Danio rerio: one gene and its partners. The protein of the gene in region 2 purifies or fractionates together with the protein of the main gene of each other region. This does not show direct contact. Links are inferred from orthologs where the notes say so. Each region holds a gene or a part of one and is shown on either strand. Other genes may lie near its edges.

What was found.
Region 1: the proteins of tsen15 (region 2) and tsen54 purify together in Homo sapiens (affinity purification with mass spectrometry; 4 studies listed by BioGRID and IntAct, counting the BioPlex papers as one, with this or other methods). This does not show direct contact. The link is inferred for Danio rerio from reciprocal best matches to the Homo sapiens genes TSEN15 and TSEN54.
Region 3: the proteins of tsen15 (region 2) and clp1 purify together in Homo sapiens (affinity purification with mass spectrometry; 4 studies listed by BioGRID and IntAct, counting the BioPlex papers as one, with this or other methods). This does not show direct contact. The link is inferred for Danio rerio from reciprocal best matches to the Homo sapiens genes TSEN15 and CLP1.

What each region holds. Positions count from the first base shown.
Region 1 is NC_133178.1:65,647,743-65,654,405, forward strand, and holds part of tsen54 (tRNA-splicing endonuclease subunit Sen54), read left to right. Parts: intron 1-2,518; coding exon 2,519-2,579; intron 2,580-3,790; coding exon 3,791-3,904; intron 3,905-5,724; coding exon 5,725-5,872; 3' UTR 5,873-6,567; intron 6,568-6,663.
Region 2 is NC_133177.1:10,293,788-10,301,212, forward strand, and holds the start of tsen15 (tRNA-splicing endonuclease subunit Sen15), read left to right. Parts: upstream 1-2,684; 5' UTR 2,685-2,853; coding exon 2,854-2,910; intron 2,911-3,001; coding exon 3,002-3,083; intron 3,084-4,457; coding exon 4,458-4,593; intron 4,594-7,425. UniProt on the Homo sapiens protein: Non-catalytic subunit of the tRNA-splicing endonuclease complex, a complex responsible for identification and cleavage of the splice sites in pre-tRNA. It cleaves pre-tRNA at the 5' and 3' splice sites to release the intron.
Region 3 is NC_133189.1:53,769,930-53,776,592, reverse strand, and holds part of clp1 (polyribonucleotide 5'-hydroxyl-kinase Clp1), read right to left. Parts: intron 5,511-6,663; 5' UTR 5,509-5,510; coding exon 5,233-5,508; intron 3,940-5,232; coding exon 3,832-3,939; intron 3,627-3,831; coding exon 3,507-3,626; intron 1,824-3,506; coding exon 1,686-1,823; intron 1-1,685. UniProt on the Homo sapiens protein: Polynucleotide kinase that can phosphorylate the 5'-hydroxyl groups of double-stranded RNA (dsRNA), single-stranded RNA (ssRNA), double-stranded DNA (dsDNA) and double-stranded DNA:RNA hybrids. dsRNA is phosphorylated more efficiently than dsDNA, and the RNA component of a DNA:RNA hybrid is phosphorylated more efficiently than the DNA component.

The DNA of each region.
Region 1 (6,663 bases), on a different chromosome or scaffold from region 2:
CTGGGTAAAGACTGGAGAAGAGAAATGAAAGAAAGACAGAAAGAATGAAGGAAAGAAAACGAATGAATGAATGATGGAAAGATAAGGAAAGAAAGAATGAAGAAAAGAGAGGGAACAAAAGAAAAATAAATAAGGAGAGAAGTAAAAGAAAGAAAGGGGGAAAGAAAGATTGTTGGAAGAAAAGGAATGAAGGAAAGAAAGATAAGGAAAGAAGTACAAGAAAAAGGTGAAAAGAAAGAATGATGAAAAGAAAAGATGGAAAGATAAGAAAATGAAGAAAAGAGAGGAAAAGAAAGATGAGGAATGAAGTGAAATAAAGGGGGAAAGGAAAGAATGATGGCAGGAAAAAGAAAGATGGAATGAAAGAAGGACTGAAAGAAAAAGAAAGCAAGAAAAAAGGGAACGAAAGAATGAGTTAATAAAAGAGGGAAAGAAAGATAAGGAAAGAAGTAAAAGAAAGAGAGTAAAGAGAAAGAATGATTGAAAGAAAAAGAAAGGACTAAAGAAAAGACAAATAAAGAAAGAATGATGGAAAGAAAGCAGGAATGAAGAAAAGAGAGGGAAAGAAAGATAATGAAAGAAGTAAAAGAAAGGGGAAAGGTAAGATTGTTAGAAAGAAAAAGAAAGAAGGACTGAAGGAAAGAGAAAGAAAGAAAAGGAATGAAGGAAAGAGAGGGAAAGAAGTACAAGAACGAAAGTGAAAAGAAAGAATGATGCAAAGAAAAGAAAAAGATGGAAAGATATAGAATAAAAGAATGAAGAAAAGAGAGGAAAGGAAAGATAAAGAAGTAAAAGAGGGGGAAAAGAAAGAATGATGGAAAGAAAAAGAAAGAAGGAACGAAATAAGGACTGAAGGAAAGAAAGCAAGAAAAAAGTGAAAAGAAAGAATGATGGAAAGAAAAGAAAGATGGAGAGATAAGAAAAGGTAGAATGAAGAAAAGAGAGATGAGGAAAGAAGTAAAATAAAGGGGGAAAGGAAAGAATGATGGCAGGTAAAAGAAATAAGGAATGAAAGAAGGACTGAAGGGAAAAGAAAGCAAGAAAAAAGGGAACGAAAGAAGTAGTTAATGAAAGAAGGAAAGAAAGATAAGGAATGAAGTAAAGGAGAGTAAAAAGAGAATGATTGAAAGAAAAAGAAAGAAGGACTAAAGGAAAGAGAAATAAAGAAAGAATGATGGAAAGAAAGCAGGAATGAAGAAAAGAGAGGGAAAGAAAGAAAAAGAAAGATAAGTAAAAGAAAGGGGAAATGTAAGATTGTTAGAAAGAAAAAGAAAGAAGGACTGAAGGAAAGAGAAAGAAATAATGGAAAGAGCAGAAAAGGAATGAGGGAAAGAAGTAGAAGAAAGAAAGAGAAAAGAAAGAATGATGCAAAGAAAAGAAAAAGATGGAAAGATACAGAATAAAGCATGAAGAAAAGAGGGAAAGATAAAGAAGTAAAAGAAAGGGGGAAAAGAAAGAATGGTGGAAAGAAAAAGAAAGGCTGGAGAAAAGAAAGCAAGAAAATAGGGAAAGAAAAGTAGTTAATGAAAGAGGGAAAGAAAGATAAGGAATGAAGTAAAAGAGAGTAAAAAGAGAATGATTGAAAGAAAAAGAAAGAAGGACTAAAGGAAAGACAAAGAAAGAAAGAATGATGGAAAGAAAGCAGGAATGAAGAAAAGAGAGGGAAAGAAAGAAAAGGTAAAAGAAAGGGGGGAAGGTAAGATTGTTAGAAAGAAAAGGAAAGTAAAAAAGAAAGGACTGAAGGCAAGAGAAAGAAAGAATGGAAAGAAAAGTAATGAGGGAAAGAAGTAGAAGAAAGAAAGAATGATGCAAAGAAAGAAAAAGATGGAAAGATAGAATAAAGAATGTAGAAAAGAGAGGGAAAGAAAGATGAAGTAAAAGAAAGGGGGAAAGAAAAAGAAAGAAGGGCTGGAGAAAAGAAAGCAAGAAAATAGGGAAAGAAAGGAATTGATGAAAGAGGGAAAGAAAGAGGGAATGATCGAAAGAAAGAAGGTAAGAAGTAAAAGAAAGGGGGAAAGAAAAAGAAAGAAGGGCTGGAGAAAAGAAAGCAAGAAAATAGGGAAAGAAAGGAATTGATGAAAGAGGGAAAGAAAGAGGGAATGATCGAAAGAAAGAAGGTAAGAAGTAAAAGAAAGAACAAACGCAAAGAAAGACAGTAAAATGAAGTAATGATTAAAAAAAGAAATGACTGGAGGAAAGACAAAGAAAGAAGAAGAAAGATAAGGAAAGAAATGAAAGAAAGAAAAAAGGGAAAGGAAAGAACAATTTAAAAAAGAAAGAATGAAGGAAAGAAAAAGAAGGACTGAAGGAAAGAGAAAGAAGGGAAAGGAAAGAAAGAACAATTTAAATAAAGGAATGCCGTTCATCACGTGTGCACCTCACAGAAAACAGCACTATGACTCCACTAAAGGCTGACTTACACTGTCGCCTGCACTGCAAGAAAAAGGTTCTCTTAAGAGTTTTTGTTTGTGGTAAATGCCCGTGTGACTTTCCTCTTGTTGTATTTTGTGTGCTGCAGGTGAACTGCTGGACCAGATCGGCATCATCAAGTCCTCTACTTTCTCTGAGGGTCTTTCCAGGTGTTTATACACTCTCACAGTTTGCTCTCCTTTTACTATCTTTCCCTGTCTGAGCGTTTGATCCATGTCAAATAAAGAGATATATTAATTCATTTAACGAAAATGAAACGATGGTGAGACAAACGATATCCATGTGTATGTCAAGTAGCAATCTTCCCAAACTAATACGGAAGTTACTCATACTGCAATTCTTCAGCTGGCCACTGGGGGCTGACCCCAAAACTGAGCATATTTACATTGACTCCAATGTTTAATGCAAGAAAGTAGGTATATTGAAAGAAAAAGAAAGAAGTGAAATGAAAGAAAGAAGGGAAAGGAAAGAACAATGCACACAAGGAATCAAGGAAAGAAAGAAGGAATGAAGGAAAGAAAGGAAAAGAAAAATAATGAAAGAAAAAAAGGGAAATGAAAGAAATAAATAAGGAAGAAGCGATGGCAACCTTCTACTCTCCCACTTGAAACTAATACAGCAGTAACTAAAACTGCAGTTCATCAACTGGCCACCGGGGGCTGGCTCCAAAACACAGCAAATTTACATTGACTCCAATGTTAAAATACAAGAAAGTAGGGAAATGAAAGAGAAACAGGGGAAAGAAAGAACGATGGACTGTAGGAATGAAAAAAGTAGGAAATAATGAAGGAAAGAGAAGTAAAAAAAAGAAAAAGAAAAGAAAGAAGCGAAAAGAAAGAATGGATTAAAAGTACAGAAAGGAAGAACAATGGCAACCTCCTGCTTCTTCTACTTGAAACTAATACAGAAGTAACCAAAACTGCAATTCATCATCTGGCCACCGGGGGCTGGCTCCAAAACACAGCAAATTTACATTGACTCCAATGGTAAAATACAACAAAGTGGGGAAATAAAAAAGAACGATTGGAAAGGAAAGAAAGAACGAAGGACAGTAGGAATGAAGAAAGGAAAGAATGAATGAAAGAAAGAAAAAGAAGAAAAAAATTAAAAGGAAAGAAAGACAGACAGAAAGAAAAGAATTATGGCAACCTCCCGCTCTCCCTCTTGAAACTAATACGGACGCAATTCAACATTCGAGTCTGGCTTTTTTAATGTTTAAATCTTTTTAAAGCCATTGTCCGTGTGTTTTAATGAAACTTACACCACAGTGATGTCATGAAACTGGCTGCTTTGACTCTTCTCTCAGAATGAAGCGAGTCAAACAAGCGTTCGAGATCATAATTAGCCTCTGTTTCCTCAGATTGTCCCCGTCAGACCAGTGGAAGATTAGTTTCGATGTTTACCAACCAGACACGGTGGCGGAGTTTAAAAAGAGCCACCCTGGAAAGCCTTACACACGCATGTGTGTCTGCAGGTAAACACACACACACACACACACACAATGCACCCAAATGAGTCCAGTGATTGATTTCATGCTTTATGATGGCGCACAATGACTGGTGTCTTTTACGTTTTGTCTTAATCATACAGTCGGTGGATCTTTACTCACTGCTGATTCATTCTGGATGATTAGTTTGGGTTTTTACTGAATTTATCAATGACATGGAACATAATACGGGGAAATCTAAACCTTTTGAGGTCTCATGTTTATTTACATGAGTAAAAGAGCAGTTTTTAGGCATATATTCTAAAGTACAGTATAAAAATTCTCAGATGAGATTAAAGCTAGCAGGGGTATTACTTTAAATCAGTTTAAATGTCAAAAATACTATTAAAATGGACTAAGATTTGTGTTTCTCAATGAATGCTTTTGGTTTACTATCATTTAGCACATTTTCAGTTCTGTGTGTGTGTGTGTGTGTGTGTGTGTGTGTACACATTTAGTTCTATGTTACAATGAGTGTTATGATTATTTGTATTCAATCGTTCACTTGTTTATTTTATTTTCGGCTTAGTCCCTTTAATAATCATGGGTCGCCACAACACAATGAACCGCCAACTTATCCAGCATACGCAGCGGATGACCTTCCAGCCGCAACCCATCACTGGGAAACATCCATACACACTCATAGACTACGAACAATTTAGCCTACTCAATTCCCCTTTGGCGCATGTGTTTGGACTGTGGGAAACCGGAGCACTCGGTTGAAACCCACGACCACACGGGGAGAACATGCAAACTCCACACAGAAATGCCAACTGACCCAGCCGAGGCTCGAAACAGCGACCTTATTGTTGTGAGGTGATCGTGCTACACACTGCACCATCGTGACAGCCTATTTATTTTCATCGGTTATTAATTTAGCATATATTTTCAGTGTAGTATATGTGTGTGTGTGTGTGTGTGTGTGTGTGTGTGTGTGTGTGGGTGTGTGTGTGTGTGTATACAAGTTCATTACTATTTTACATGGACTGTATGTTTATTCTGTTATTGTATATAATCCAGTATTCATTTTTAAAGTTAATTAAGTTTGTTAATTAATCGTTTATCTGCATATTTGGTCCATCCCAGCTATCACTATCTGCAAATTCCAAAATCAGTTGATCTATATCAGTTTGTGTGTGTGTGTATACACATTTAATACTGTTTTACAATGAGTGCTTTGTTTATTTATTTATTTTAATCCAGTATTAATTAATTAATCAGTTAATCAATTGATTATCTGCATGCATGGTCTGACCTAACTATCGGTATCGGCCAATATCGGTTCAGCTCTAATGATTTCTCTATTCAAAAATCTTAAAATATTTTATATTTGCTCTTATTTTCTCTCGCATAACTTCTATTTCACCGTAGTTTAAGCTCTATTGTTTATTTATTTATTAATTCATGCATTTTCCATCAGCTTAGTCCCTTTTTTCATCACAACAGAATGAACCGCCAACTATTCCAGCATGTTTTACACAGCGGATACCCTTCCAGTTGCAACCCAGTACTGGGAAACACCCATGCACACTCATTCACACACACACACTCCTACACTACGGCCAATTTAGGGATTCCCCTACAGCGCATGTGTTTGGAGCACCCGGAGAAAACCCGCGCCAACATGCAAACGCCACACAGAAACACCAACTGACCCAGCCGGGGCTCGAACCAGCGACCTTCTTGCTGTGAGGCCACAGTGCTAACCACTGAGCCACCTTCACTGCATATCATACCGTGTAACGTGTGTGACTCTGTATGTGAGCGTCTGATCTGACGTACTGTGTTTGTGTGTGTGTGTTTGTCAGTTTTGCGGGCCCTGTGCCGGATCTGCATGCTGTGAAGCAGCTCTCCTTCCAGAGCCAGGACGTCCCGGTGACATTCGCAGTGGTGGATCACGGTGACATCTCCTTTTACTGCTTCAAAGACTTTAAACTTCCAACTGATGTGTATTAAAGCTGCATTTATCAAACTACAACTCGACTCAGTACAGCACCTGTGCATCTCAGGGGGATTATGGACGGAGAGTTTACCCTAAAATAACCGTTTCTATCATCGTTTAGTGACTCTTATTGGATTAAAAAAGTCTTAATTCAAGAAGCTAAGCTTAGATAAGCACAAAATATTGTGTTGTTTACAGAAATAATGAGTCAAAATTAAGTGTTTTACCTTAAAACAAGTCAAATAATCTGCTAATGAGAGAAGAGAAATCATTTTTGAGATTGTTTCCCCAATTGGTGGATTATTTTCGCTTCTTTTATGGAAAAACTCAGTTAAATTTGACTCATTATTTCTGAAAACACCACAATATTTTGTGCTTTTCTAGAAAAAGCTTCTTGATTTAGGAGTTTTTAGATATTTGGACTAGAAATGAGACAAAAAATTGAGCAGGAAAGTCTTCTTGGTTGATGGAAGTCAGCGGTCACATTTGTCTAAAACTGAACTGAAAACAGCACCTGTGCATCTCAGGGCGATTACGGATGGAGAGTTCACCCTAAGATAACAGCTCTGTCATTGACTCTTATTGGATTGTGAATTAATAAAGTCTTAAATCAAGAAGCTTTTTCTGGATAAGCACAAAATATTGTCTGTTTACTGAAATAATGAGTTAAAATTAAGTGAGTTTTTCCTTAAAACAAGTCAAATGATCTGCTAATGAGGGAAGAGAAATCATTTTTGGCATTGTTTCCCCCATTGGCGGATTATTTAGCTTGTTTTGAGGAAAAACTCAGTTCATTTGGACTTAT
Region 2 (7,425 bases):
AGCTACATGATTTGCGGTCTCCAGAAACGTCCGCGGGACTACGTTTTCAGAATGAGCCTGGGTTGGCTTAATTATTGCGGTTGCCAAATATCCAATTATTTACAATGTTTTCCTACAGTGACATACATAAAAAAGTTACTGGCGAGTTACTGATGTGCATTAGCATTATATATGTATTTTTTGTTTAAAAAAAAAGAAAGAAAAAAAAGGAAAAAAAAGTGTGAATCTCATGCTTACTATAACGACAGTACAAAACAGTATTGCTGCTTCAGAATATCTCAGACATATGGACACGTACTGGATAAGTGGAGCAAAGCCACACCACACGCAACAACTTAATCTTCTACAGTTAAATGAATTTGATAAAAAGTGTGCAACTTTTTGCACGCTAAAAGGCATGTTTTATGCAGGATTGTAACTGATTTGCTGCAACGACCTCTTTAAATACGAGATCAATGTTGCGAATTTTGACACTCTCGCCGGTGGAGCAGGGAAGGCAGACAACGTTGTCATCAGGGCATCCAGAGCGAACTTACATTTACATTCACATTTAGTCATTTAGCAGACGCTTTTATCCAAAGAGACTTACAAATGAGTACGCAGAAGCAATTTACACAACTATAAGAGCAACAATGAATAAGTGCTGTAGGCAAGTTTTTTGAGTACAGTTAGCGGTGGAGCCAGGGAGGCAATTGCAGATTAGGAAGGAAAGTGGAGATTAGGAAGGAAGCTTTGACGCTCGCACCGTCTTCAATGTGGACGCACAAATACTAATTTACTAATGAGCAAGATATCGTCACTAACAGGTGGGGTTTTTACCCTTCTGATGACGTTAAAAAGGGAGAATGTCCAGAATGTGTTTTTGCAAGTGTGATTATAAAAAATATATATTATTTTTTTTCCATTAGAGGCTGATTGTATTCACACACTGCTGCCACACATAATAGGTCCCCTTTAAATGAAATAAAACACAGTGATTTTGCTTTCGCATAAAATAAAACCGCCTAAATCTAGCTTAAAGGTGTAAAATCAAATAAATCAGTGTCTGGCATGGGGAAAACATGCCATAAAAATGTTTCCTTAGAATACTTCACTACAAAATACATGAACAAATCGCATCTTATTTGGTGTAGTGTGTATATGTATGAAAATATTTAATTTGCCACACTTGCATGCAAGCATTTGGAAAGTGCTTGAAAAGTGCTTAAATTTGATTTTAAAAAAGTATATGGACCCTGTTTCTTGTTATTTTAGATGGCTTTTTAGAACTTTCAAAGAGACTTTCTTCTTTCTGGAGTAATCCGGTTTATACAAAAGAATAAGAATACAGAATAGGAAAACACTATGCTTTAAAGGTTTGGAGAGAAAATACTTTTTTATTCAGTGAGGATGCATTAAGAAAATTATTTCTGAAGGAATGTTTGACATTGAAGAATGCAGTAATTATGCTGAAAATTTAGCGTTGAATTACAGGAATAAATTAAAATTGAAAACATGTTCAAATTTAAACAATTATATTAGATTGTAAGAATATTTGACTGCTTATGTGCTTTTAAACTCTAGTGTTTATTATTATAACACATATTCTGTTGGGGTTTTTGTTTATGTGACTTGTTTCAATGCAGGTAGTTTGTAGCCTTTTAAAGATCTTTTTCTACAACATTGTGTAAACCTGCCGGTCCTACACCACCCAACCCGCTCTGAGCTGGTATCGATCTGGCGACCTTCCGCATGGGAGTCGGTTGCACTAACAAGGAGGCTAAACACCATGGCCTTTAGTGTGGGTTGCTAGAGCACCTTTAGAGGTCAGATGAGTAAGGTTTACCTGCACACACTAGCTGGCCTCCGTTACAATTGCACACATTTTTACATTTGTTTCTAATTTACATACCAGAGGAAGAATAAATCTTATTTTGCTTCATGACTATGCACTGTCCTATTGTAATAAAGACTGAACCCCGAAAATAAATCTTAAAAAAATGGCTTTAACAAAATAAATAGATAGCTACATAAAAAGAAGTTAATGTGTAGGTGTATTAATCTGTTACAGCTTTTCCAAATAGGACTATTTCTGATATGTCTTCTAAAGTATATACTGCATATGTTGAGCGCTATATAAAAGAAGATATTAGTATATTTTTATAAGCCACAGTCATACAATATGTATAAATGCGTTACTGTTTTGTAGTGTAATTATTTTGAAAAATCAATAAAGAATTGGAATTAACAGTTGTATTTTTGACTGATAATAGACTGGCAGACAACTTCTATAACAAACTGTAAAAATAAAAAATAAGATTTGTCCTGAATTCGTCTGTATCAATGCGGGCCTATTGAGATAGTGTACTGTTTCTACACGGATTCATATAAAGACGGGACAATAACAATCTGGTTGTGTTCAACGACCGATCTATATTAGAACATTATTAAAGCCTTATACGCACCAATTAATCAAGATATACACTAGGTAATGAACTATTATTTTTTAGAAAGAAGCTTGAATCGTACAAAGCAATTATTTTTCGCAAATAATTATATGGTTTTTGAAGTCAAGCTACGTTCGCACAGTGGGCGTCGCTGATTTGAAGTCCATTCGACACTTGTTGTAGTATGTAAATATTGGCCAATCGCCGTCTCTGTTGTTGCCTCATGACTATTAAATTAAGTACGTGATTGGTTTTGTAGAAAAGCGACTTACTAAATATTCATAACAACAGCCTTCGGGGTAGTAGGATTCGCAATTCACACATGTTCTAGTGTACGCGCACATGGTAAATCAGCAAACACGATTTTTGCCACACGCATTGATTCATTATGGGCTTTTAAAAAACGGAAGGAGAGTTGATAATTGTGATGGACGAAGCAAATCCAGCAAATCCTCCTCCGAACTGGATCCAGCAGCACACTGTCGTAAGAGAGTCACATTCTTCTTCATGTAAAGATAAATGAATGTAAATGTGTACTGCATATGTGTACAATTGTTGTTTAATTTGTTCTTCAGTACCAAGAGCTGATGCGTTTAGAAGTCGGAGACAGTGTTCAAGTACATGCTGCCTTCCTGGTGTACATGGATCTGACGGAAGGTGATGTCAACAGTCTAAAAGTACCGTAGAATATCAAGTTGAACATCCCCCCCAAAAGAATATGCCACAGTTTTTGATGCAATCCCTGACTTTGTTATATTTTTAGTCCAATCTGGCCCCAAAGGTTCTCTAGATTCTTTTATTATTGGCTTTTTATACTTTTTGATGACCAAACTCTTCTCAGTTTTATGTCGAACAAAGATATTCGCTTGGTTATTAATAATTCTCGGATATCTTTACCTGCTTGCATAGACATAGATTGGGATCAGTTTTGTCTTCTTAGGAAAAAAAATATTTGTATCTAATAAAGCTGTTGTAGTCTCAATCAAAATCAATCATAATACATAACCCAATAAATACTAAACTAGCTCAATTTAAAAACAATATTATTCCCTAAATGTTCATTTTGTACTCAATATGATGAAACACTAAATAATTTATTTTGGGAGTGCACTTATTGTAAAGTTTTTGGGTCGACTTCCAATTTCATAAAAAAAAATTTTTTCCCAAACTTTTGTATTTCCCCAAAAATTGTATTCTTTGGTTACTCTCTGAATGTAGATCCTTCTCATTGTACATTTATTATTAATTTATTATAAATTTTACATCCATAAATGTACATTTTCGAAGAAACACCCTTACTTTTTATTTTCAGAAAGGACTTTGATTTATATGTGAACTCTTTAAAAGACTAACAATTATATTGCATGAAAACTTTTCTTGGTGTAAATCATTTAAACTTGTTTAATCTGCTGGATTTTTATTTATGTAACCCCTGTGTGTTTTTGTTCATATTGTATCTTTGTAATGTTCCTTCTTGCATAAAATAAAATCAAGTTGAAACTATAAAAAGAGACTAAATGACCCTTAAAGGGCAGTTCACCCCAAAATGTTATTTACCCATTTACTCACCTTTAAGAGATTCCGGACAACATCTGCTGAATACAACAGAACCCACTCGTCAAACGACCTGTTTTCAATACTGAAATATGATTGAAATCAGATGTATTGTTTTTTTTGTTTTTTTACATTGAAACAATGTTGATACATTGTTTGATGTAGAACGGTTGAAAACCAACCTGCATACGACCAAGCTCCAATGTTGAAATACGGTTGAAAGTACGTCAGTTGTTGTTTCAGTGTTAAATGATAAACCTTACAGTGTTTCTGTATTATAAAAAATATTAGCCATTGACTTCCATGTTTTTTTCCTACTATGGAAGTCAATGGCTATCGGTTTTCGACATTCTTCAAAACACCTTCTTTTTGGGTTCATCAGCAGAAGGAATCCCATAAAGGGTTTGGAACCACTTGAGAGCGAGTAAATTAATATTTCATTTTCGGATGAACTATCCCTTTAATCTTTGTTTACAGTGCGTAAATGGAAAGATGTGGTCGGGGTTTCCTGTCCGGAGTTACAGGCGGTTCTTCTGGAGGGTCGAGAGAAGGAAGGAGAATCGGTCCAGATGATTTACCCTCTGCCTTCACACAGATCCATCAAGCACAGAGAGTAAGGGTGCTTCCACACTTGTGTTCGATTCAGTTGTTCCGAAACAGAGATTACAAATGTTGCATTGTTGCTCTTTGCTCTTGGTGCGGTTCGCTTTCACACTGCAAAGTTTCCAGTCGGACCAAAAGAGCTAAAACAAGTCACGTGCGAGTAAACTCTCCTTACATTGGTCAGAGTGTCAGGATTTATTTTACAGCGTCCCGCTAAGCTGTCAGGAGAGGTGGTGGTTTGGTGGTGATTGACAGGGTGCGCACGCGTGACGTGTCTGAGGAGAGACGCGGTGGGGAGGGGTGAGAAGGGTGCGCGACGATGCCTATTTGAGGACTGGGAGGGAGACGCGAGATTACCAGGAGATCATCACTCGTTTGCGGGCATCCAGAGACTCGCGAAACTTCCCGCCATACTCATAATTCTCTCTTCATATAGCCGTAAGCCTATTACATATCCATAAAACACTGTGATATAACCGCGCTCGGATCGGATCGCTTTCTCACTGCAATCGAACCGCTCCAGGGTTCGTTTCAATCGAGCCGAGACCACCTCATTCAAGCGATCTCGGAGCGACTAGTTTGGCGCAGAACAGAGCGCGATTGAAACTGTTCACATATGCCAAACGAAACGCACTAACTGGGCAAACGAGACACATTCCAAAACAAAAGTGTAGGTGTGAAAGCACCCTAAGACACGCTGTCAGCATTTACTGTAAAGTCACTGCAAGTAGTAATAAGTGCTTTCAAAACACTGCACCTTGAGACTTTAGGTTTAAACTTAAAATAATGTTCATTCATTCATTTTTTGTTCGCTGGCTCAGTGCCTTATTTACCAGGGATCGCCACAGCAGAATGAGCCACCAACTATTCCAGCATATGTTTTATGCAGTGGATGTCTTTCCAGCCGCAACTCATTACTGGGAAACTAAAATAATGTTAATGTGGGTTTTTATATTCTATTACTTTAATCTTAATACGTTAATTTTGCAATTTTTTTTTGCAACACCTTTTACAATATTCAACATGATAGTCGATTTTAATGGAATAGTTCACCCAGAAATGATTATTACCCCATAATTTACTCACTCTCATACCATCTCAAAAAATGTAACTACTTGTCGCAATGACGCGTAGCGGTAGCTCTGTGATTGGTCGGCTTGGTAGCGCTGACGAGTGTGAACGGGACCGAGAGCTCCAGATGAAAAGTTTTGTTTTGTGTTTACCTTATAATTAAAGTGCACTTCAGCCGGTTCCTCCCTCAAAATGAGCGAGTTTGAACCACTTGTACATTTAAGGAAGCGTTCAGGAAAAAACAAAACACCAGCGTAGAAACTCGACACAGAGGAACATAAAACCCTCACTGGCAACTAGCTTTTCGGAAATGTTAATGCAGAGCAACAGAAACAGTGCGCAGAAGTATGAATGCACAGTTAAGCCTGGTTTATACTTCTGCGTCAAGTGACCGGCGTAACTCACGGCGCAGGCAACGCGCGCAGCTGTGCATTTATACTTCTGCGCGCTGTCTCTGTTGGTCTGAATTAACACTTCCGAAACTCTAGTTGGCAGTGAGGTGTAAATGTTTCTCTGTGTCGAGTTTCTTCACTTTTTTTGCTTTTCCTGAACGCTTCCAGGATGTACAAGTGGCTCAAACTTGCTCATTTTGAGGCAGGAACCGGCGGACGTGCAACAACTTTAACCATGAGGTAAACACAGAACAAAACTTTCCGGAGTTCCTTCACGGGACTCCACACTTGTAAACAATCGCTCGCGCCATTCGCGTGGCTCTCGGTCCCGCCCAGACTCGTCAGCGCTACCAAGCCGACCAATCACAGAGCTTGCGCTACGCGTTGTTGCGACGTGTAGTTACATTTTTTTAGAGGCGCACGTCAGTGACGCCGATGGCCACGGCGAAGGGCTATGCGTCAGCGCCGTAGCATACGCCGGCATTTTACGGAGAAGTATAAATCAGCCTTTACGCGCATTGCATGCTCCGTGGGTCACGCCGATCACTTGACGCAGAAGTATAAACCAGGCTTTAGTCGGAGTGGTTTTCAATTGTATTCTGCATGCTGTATAATGGTATTGGATGGTGGCTTTTATTTTGAAGCTTTCAAAAATCAAACTATCCCATATGGTGCCAAAGTGTTAATGCTTGTATTATGAAACAGATCAATGTGTATTTATAACAACAACAAAAAATCCAAATCAACGAAATTCCACTCACTGGCAGCCAAACGCATGTTATGCGCAACTGACGTTACGTACAGTTGAATTATTCAGAATTATTAGCCCTCCTGAATTATTAAATTAATTTCTTTTAACGGAGAGATTTTTTTCAACACATTTCTAAACAATAGTTTAGAATATATATATATATATATATATATATATATATATATATATATATATATAATAACTGATTTATCTTTGCCATTAGGACAGTACATAATATTTGACTAGATGTCATATTACAGCATAGATTGTAAAATATATGGCTGTAGTATCCATTAAGTCACCCATAGGTTTCTTAAGAGCGCAAATGAAGCAACAAGTAGGCGTGGCCAACCGTCTTCATTTTGTTTGTGTGTGTTCACACCAACCGGGGCTGACCAAATAAGAGCAAAGAGGAGGAGCGTCAGAGGAGCTACAAACGCCTGCTAGCATTTTGCTTAGACAGGCTTTTCTTTGGGAGAAACGCTTAATACATCATTACCTGCGACTCGTTTGTGTTCTGACTGCATGTGCTTGCCTGTTGAGGATTTATCAAGTTTAAAAACACTGTTGTAATACATTGAGCCACTAAACATTGTTATTATAACGTTTTTCTACTGGACGATAACAC
Region 3 (6,663 bases), on a different chromosome or scaffold from region 2:
TATTGAGATTTGACACTATTGTTTTGAGCCTACAAAAGTGGACACATAATTTGTCAAGATTTATGTCTTTTTGTTGTATTCATATTTTGTATTATCTCCAAAAGAAAGAAAGAAAGAAAGAAAGAAAGAAAGAAAGAAAGAAAGAAAAAAAGAAAGAAAGAAAGAAACCCAGCTGTCGCAGCATCAAGAGCTGTCAAGCAAGCGCTCTTTCGCCGGTCTCTCACACACACGCACATGCATTTAAACATGCACGTTTCATGCACAAACACCTTTTAAACTTGACAAAAACTCTCGACAACATTTACTTGCTGCTGTGTGTTTAATATGGTGTTTGATCCTCGTCTGAGTATTTTATTTTTTTATTTTTATTGTTAAGACATATAATACTGTTGGGGTTGTTGAAAATTTGAAGTTCTAAAGCAGCTGTTTTCTAAAAAAAAAAAAAGACGTGATAGTGTAATTACAAACTGAAATGGAAATGACCTTATTTTAATATAGTCAGTCGTGAACTGAGGTGGGCCGGTGTGAGGCTTGAAACTCCAGAACTGAAAAGGAGTGCCACTCCGGCCCTGGTGTAAAGATTATTATGCGTTATTGAAACATCAAGAACGCAAGAAAGCAAAGAAAAATCACTTATAAATTAAAACTACTTTATTATTTTATGCAATGGCCTTACATTTAAAAGGGAAACCTAAGGGCGATCATAAGCAAAAAGACCCCAGCCTATAGGTGTTTTATGGAATAGCCTATCTTAAACTGACCAGCTATACGTTTTTCTTTTCCTCATTTATTTTGTCGCATGAACTCCTGTGCAATCGGAAAACTAGTGTAATGGCACATGCCATTTTTACCAGACTTGGGCAAAGTGTGCCTCTCACTACGCCCCCAAAGCACCAGCTGGCCCTCTTTGGCCCAAGGTATTCGGCGGGCCGAAAAAGGCCAACCGCTGGCCCCAAGGAAGCTCCGCTTTGGTCCGATCAGGCCCTGGAAGTGACAGTGGAAACGCGACAGGCCCTGGCTCACTCGCTTTAGGTGCGATAGTGGAAACGCTGCTATTGAAAAAGATGATGCACAGAGGAAAGATGAGTGTGAAGCTGCTTTTTACATTGGAGCTGTATGATAACTGCAACTACATTAATGTCAGTAGGAGGGGAGAGTAGCAAATAGGACTTGATGGCGAGTTTCATTTCACTTTTCTTTCATGACTTGCAAAATCGCCTGGGTTTGAATGCATTTCATTAGTTAATGTATTTTTTCTAACATAACCTACTTATGAACAATTTATTCATCATACTTCAACATTTACTAATGCATTATAACCAGATTCATGCTTGTTAACATTAGTTAATGCATCGGGAGTTAACATGAATAACTTTATATTCTTTAACTAACATAAACAAATACTGTAATAAACGTGTTGCTCATTGTTTGTTCATGTTAGTAAATGCATTAACTAACAAACTAATACAACCTTATTGTAAAGTGTTACCGATATTTCTATATAAACCACATTATATAGTTGCATTAGGAGAAAGATTGATGCATCTTCTCTTGTTCATTATTGATTATACAACCCCAGCATTGTTTGCTGCTCATTAAATCAGCTGCATCTGTTCCAGTGATATACAAGCCAAAGCTGATGTGTAAAAACAACACTCCCTTAAGTGCACCGGTGTCATTATTACCTTGTTGTAAAGTTTGATGTTTGTCCCTGGAGTGGTGGAGCCAAAATGAAAGACGAGCGGCGCCTGAACTGAGAAACCTTCTTCAACATCAGCAGGACGCTCGATGCACAGAGCCGACATGGTTCCAGGCACTGAGACCTGCAGGCCAAAACAATTAATCCCAAATGATGTTTAACAGAGCGAGGAATTTTTCACAGTATTTCCTATAATATTTTTTCTTCTGGAGAAAGTCTTATTTGTTTTATTTCGACTAGAATAATTGTTTTTATATTCATTTTAAGGTCAATATTATTAGCAACGTTACACAATGACTTGCCTAATAACTCTAACCTGTCTAATTAACCTAGTTAAGCCTTTAAATGTCACTTTAAGCTGAATACTAACATCTTGAAAAAAACATCTAGTCAAATATTACGTGCTGTCATCATGGCATAGATAAAATAAATCAGTTATTAGAAACATTATGTTTAGAAATGTGTTGGAAAAAAATCTCTGCATTATCAGAAATCGGGGAAAAAAAACAAACAGGAGGGCTGATAATACTTCAACTGTAGCGGCTCTATTTTGACGGTCCATGCGCAGAGCGCAAAACAGAGGGCGCAAACGCTTTCAGGGCATGTCAGGACGCGTTTTTGCTAATTTAAAGACAGGAAATCTGCCTTGCGCCGCGGCGCATGGTCTAAAAGGGTTGAGTTTATTTTCTTAATGAGTTATAGGGGTGTTTTGAGAATAAACCAATTAGAGTCTCATCTCCCATTCCCTTTAAGATCCAGCTGCGTTGCACCATAAGCGCATTTGCTATTTACAGGACGCAAAGTAAGTCTAAGTGGAAAAACTGAGCATTTCACAAGCAAACAGTTCACAGTTAACAGTTTTTTAACAGAAAACTGTTAAGAAGAGCATCTACTGCGTGAGAATGAGAGATAATGGATCTACTTTCACATTCGCTTTTGAATAGGGAAACCTTTACACACAGACATCAATTAGTCTATAAATAAATAATTGCATTTGTTAAGCGCAAATATTCGTTTCAAAACTATTTCTAAATTCAGTTCTAATTTCCAGCAAACGAATAAATGAATAATAATAACAAAGTGTGCTCAAAAACCTGAGTTATATCCTAAAACACATGCTGTGCCCCATATGGTCTAAAACCTGACAGGTGGACAAATCTAAGCTTGTTTTTAATAAAACAAATATAAATATGGATATAATAAATAATACTGCTAATAATAATAACATTATACAGAAGAAAATTGTTATGAATGAACTGAAAAAGCCTCTGGAGATGAAGACATAAAAGCAGTGATTTTTCATATTTATGTAGGCTAGAAAATCATATGTTTTGTAATATTTTAATCCTTTATATTTATATCCTATATCTATTATTATTATATCCTATATATATCCTTAATATTTACATGTTTTCATATGTAAAGATATTTGCCTATTGCTCTCTTGTGTGTATTAAGCAGTGTTAAGTGAGGTGCAACTCTGCGCCGGAGTTTAGACCGGGTTAGTTTTGGTCTAATGAAAAATCTATTATAGTTTCTCAAAATAGCAACGCGCCAGCAGTCCGCCTCAGAACGCCTTCTTTTTAGACCAGAACGCCTATGGCCGCACAAATGAGCGCTAATGCATTTGCTATTTAAACAGCGTAGCGCAACGCCTCAAAACGACTCTTGCGCCGAGCTGAAACTGGCAAACAAGTATTGCGCCACACTGCGCCGGGTGTATGATAGGGCCCTTGATCTTCACTTCTTAATAAGCCTGTTAGGTTTAGAAGATGCTGCATCGATCTCTCTGGCATCATTCACTTACACTGCTCTGGCCGACGTCCAGCTCCACCAGTGTAGGTCTGCGTCCCAGTCGCACTGCATAATTCAGCAGCATCCGACATACTGTTGACTTTCCAACATCGGTTGGGCCGACGACCATTACCTATGATGACAAATGCAGATTAAACAGATATTTAATATTCAGATAACAACCAAGAGCAGTTTATGCTTTATATTATTATGAGTTTGTATTCATTTTATTTATATATCAGTCAGTTTCTATTATTATTGGCCATACAGTTACAGCTGAAGGCAAAATTTTTAGACCTCCAGTGACATTTTAATTCTTCCGCTGTGTGTTCACGTACCCGAGGGCCTCTTTCGTTGTCTTTCTCTGCCTGCCGTCTCATCTGCTCTAGAGCCGCATGTGTGTTCAGGTACAGCAGCATCGGGGTATCTTTGGAGACATAAGCCACCTGCATTTACAGGAAAAAGCCATATTTGAGTTTGTTAATGTCATTTAAGTTTTGTTTTACTAGTGCACATTGTTAAACTTAATGTAAATAATGAGTGCAAGTTAATCTTCTGACAAAAACGTTTGTTTTTGTAATCTTCAATCAACGTCTGATTACAATCCAGCATTGAACTATGCATGTTTGCATTTTTTTTATGACAGTGGAAAAACCCCTAAATAGCAGCATACTCCAGTTTAGGTTGTGAAAATAAGAGTATGACATTGTTTAAAAGTGTAAAAGGGCTATTTCATGTTTAATCACGATTATAATTAAAACAGCATGCTTTTATTCAGTAATAGAAATCATTCAGGATGTCTCTGTACATTGCTGCATTCATCTTTCCCTCTATCCTGACTAGTCTTCCAGTTCCTGCTGCTGAAAAACATCCCCACAGCATGAAGCCAACACCACCATGCCTCAATGTAGGGATGCTATTAGCCTGCCTGCTTTTCTCCAAACGTAATGCCTGGCATTAACTCCAAAGAGTTCAATTTTCATCTCATCGGACCAGACAATTTAGTTTCTTATGGTTTGAGAGTCCTTCAGATGCCTTTTGGCAAATTTCAGGCGGGGAGTGTCTTCCGTCTGGCCACTCTACCATACAGGCCTGATTGGTGGATTGCTGCACTGATGGTTGTCCTTCTGTAAGGTTCTCCTCTCTCCACAGAAGAACGCTGGAGCTCAGACAGAGTGACCATCGGGTTATTGATCACCTCCCTGACTAATGCCCTTCTCCCTGATCACTCAGCTTAGATGGCCGGCCAGCTCTAGGAGTCCTGGTGGTTCTAAACAGCTTCCACTAACAGATGTTGGAGGCCGCTGTGCTCATTGGGACTTTCAGAGAAGCAAAAATGTTTCTGTAACCTTCCCCAGCCTTGTGCCAAGAGAAAATCCTGTCTCGGAGGACTACAGACAACTCCGTTGTCTTCAAGCTTGGTTTTTCCTTTGACATGCACTGTCCTATACACCTATAGACAGGTGTATGCCTTTTCAAATCATGTCCAGTCAACTGAATTTACCAGAGGTGGACATTTGAACAACTAAACGAATGCTTAAGTCTATTTAATTGATTGTATTTTAACAACATTACAACATTAATGCTGTAAAAAGGAACCTTATTAAATTGAAAATAGTCACAAAAACTTCCACCGTAAGTTCATCATTAGCTAAGAAACACTAGCTGTGCATATAGCCTGTTAGAAGTACATCAACACACTGAAATAAAAGTCAGGTTCAAGACTTGCTATCTCTCACCTCTGTTTTGCCTGAAAGTGCCACACCGCAGCCCTGCCAGGTAAACACAGCGATCTTAGAGCCAGGCCCGAAAGTGTATTTCTTATTGCGGTTCAGCTCAGATCCGAATATCTCAGCTAAGCCAGACAGCAGCTCCAGCTGGACTCGTTCTCCTGCTTCCACCTCAAAGCGCAGTTCTGTCTCTTTATCCAGGTCGAATCTGGTGCCTGAAGAACCAGCGCTGCCCGACGAGCTCAGGCCCTCCTCCACAGACTTTTCTGCAGCTTCTGCCGTCATGACTGTGAAGGAGAATTATCAGAGATGAAAAGGATTGTTTACATAACTGCAATCCATTATGAATTATTCTGTATGTTTAAAACCAGCAAATTATGCTATAAATTTCACGTCATGTACTTACTTTTATTCAAATTTCTGCTTAATAAAAAATTAAATAAAAAGATGGAAAGGGTTTTCAAGCATCAAAATAGATGGAATTTATATATTTATTCCAACATGCATAGAACGATGTGTCTTGTTTATATATTTTTTCATATGATAGAAGACAGTAGTGCTGCACAATACTAAGCACTGTTTTTAAGTATTGCAATAATTATATTTCTTGTGATATAAAACCTCCAGATAGATTTTTAAACTTACAAAAATAAATAGGCAATAGATTTTTCTGATCTAATTAAATCTAATTTATTCAACAAAGAACAACAACGTCATAGAGTAAAAATTTTGACTTTAAATCACTATGAATGAATTTTCTATCGTCTCGACTCCTGCCATTAGTGTATTTTTAGTTCCCCTTTGGGACGGTCTAGCCAACATCAAAACAGCACCTACTGGGGACACAGGTATAAAGTGTAAAGCCCCATCCAATTGGTCAAATTTGGACAATTAACCAAATGCATGCAACACACAAATTCTTGTCACATAAAATAAATGCAAATTATTGCACCTCTCTGTCATATGAATACTGCAATTTGATATATTCAATTTATTTCAAGAGTTCACACTTAGATACTGTTCGACAACTTGTTAGCAAGTTAGCAGGTTTGGCGTGCTGTCCCGGGAGAGAACCCTGAGCTCGGAGATAGTTGAGCCCAGGGCTCCCGCCAGGTCCATTGAGCATGTGAGGGGAGTACGAGATCAGGAGTTCTCGAGAGCTCCCCTAGGCAAAAGAGGAAAGGAGGAGAAGGGGTGGATGGGGGGTTTCTTCGGGAAACGAAGATAAGGGAGTAGTTCTTAGCTAGTTAGCTAGGTTACTTATAGTGAGTTTGGATCAATCTGATTGGCTAGCTAATGAGTGTAGATGAGTGGCCAGCTGCAGTCAATCATATCACATGCTCCTCTCGAAATTAGTTTGTGAAACTTCATTTAGGACAACCACTAAAATGCTATTCAGTGTAACAATCTTATATACAGGGTGGGGGAATAGTAACTAGG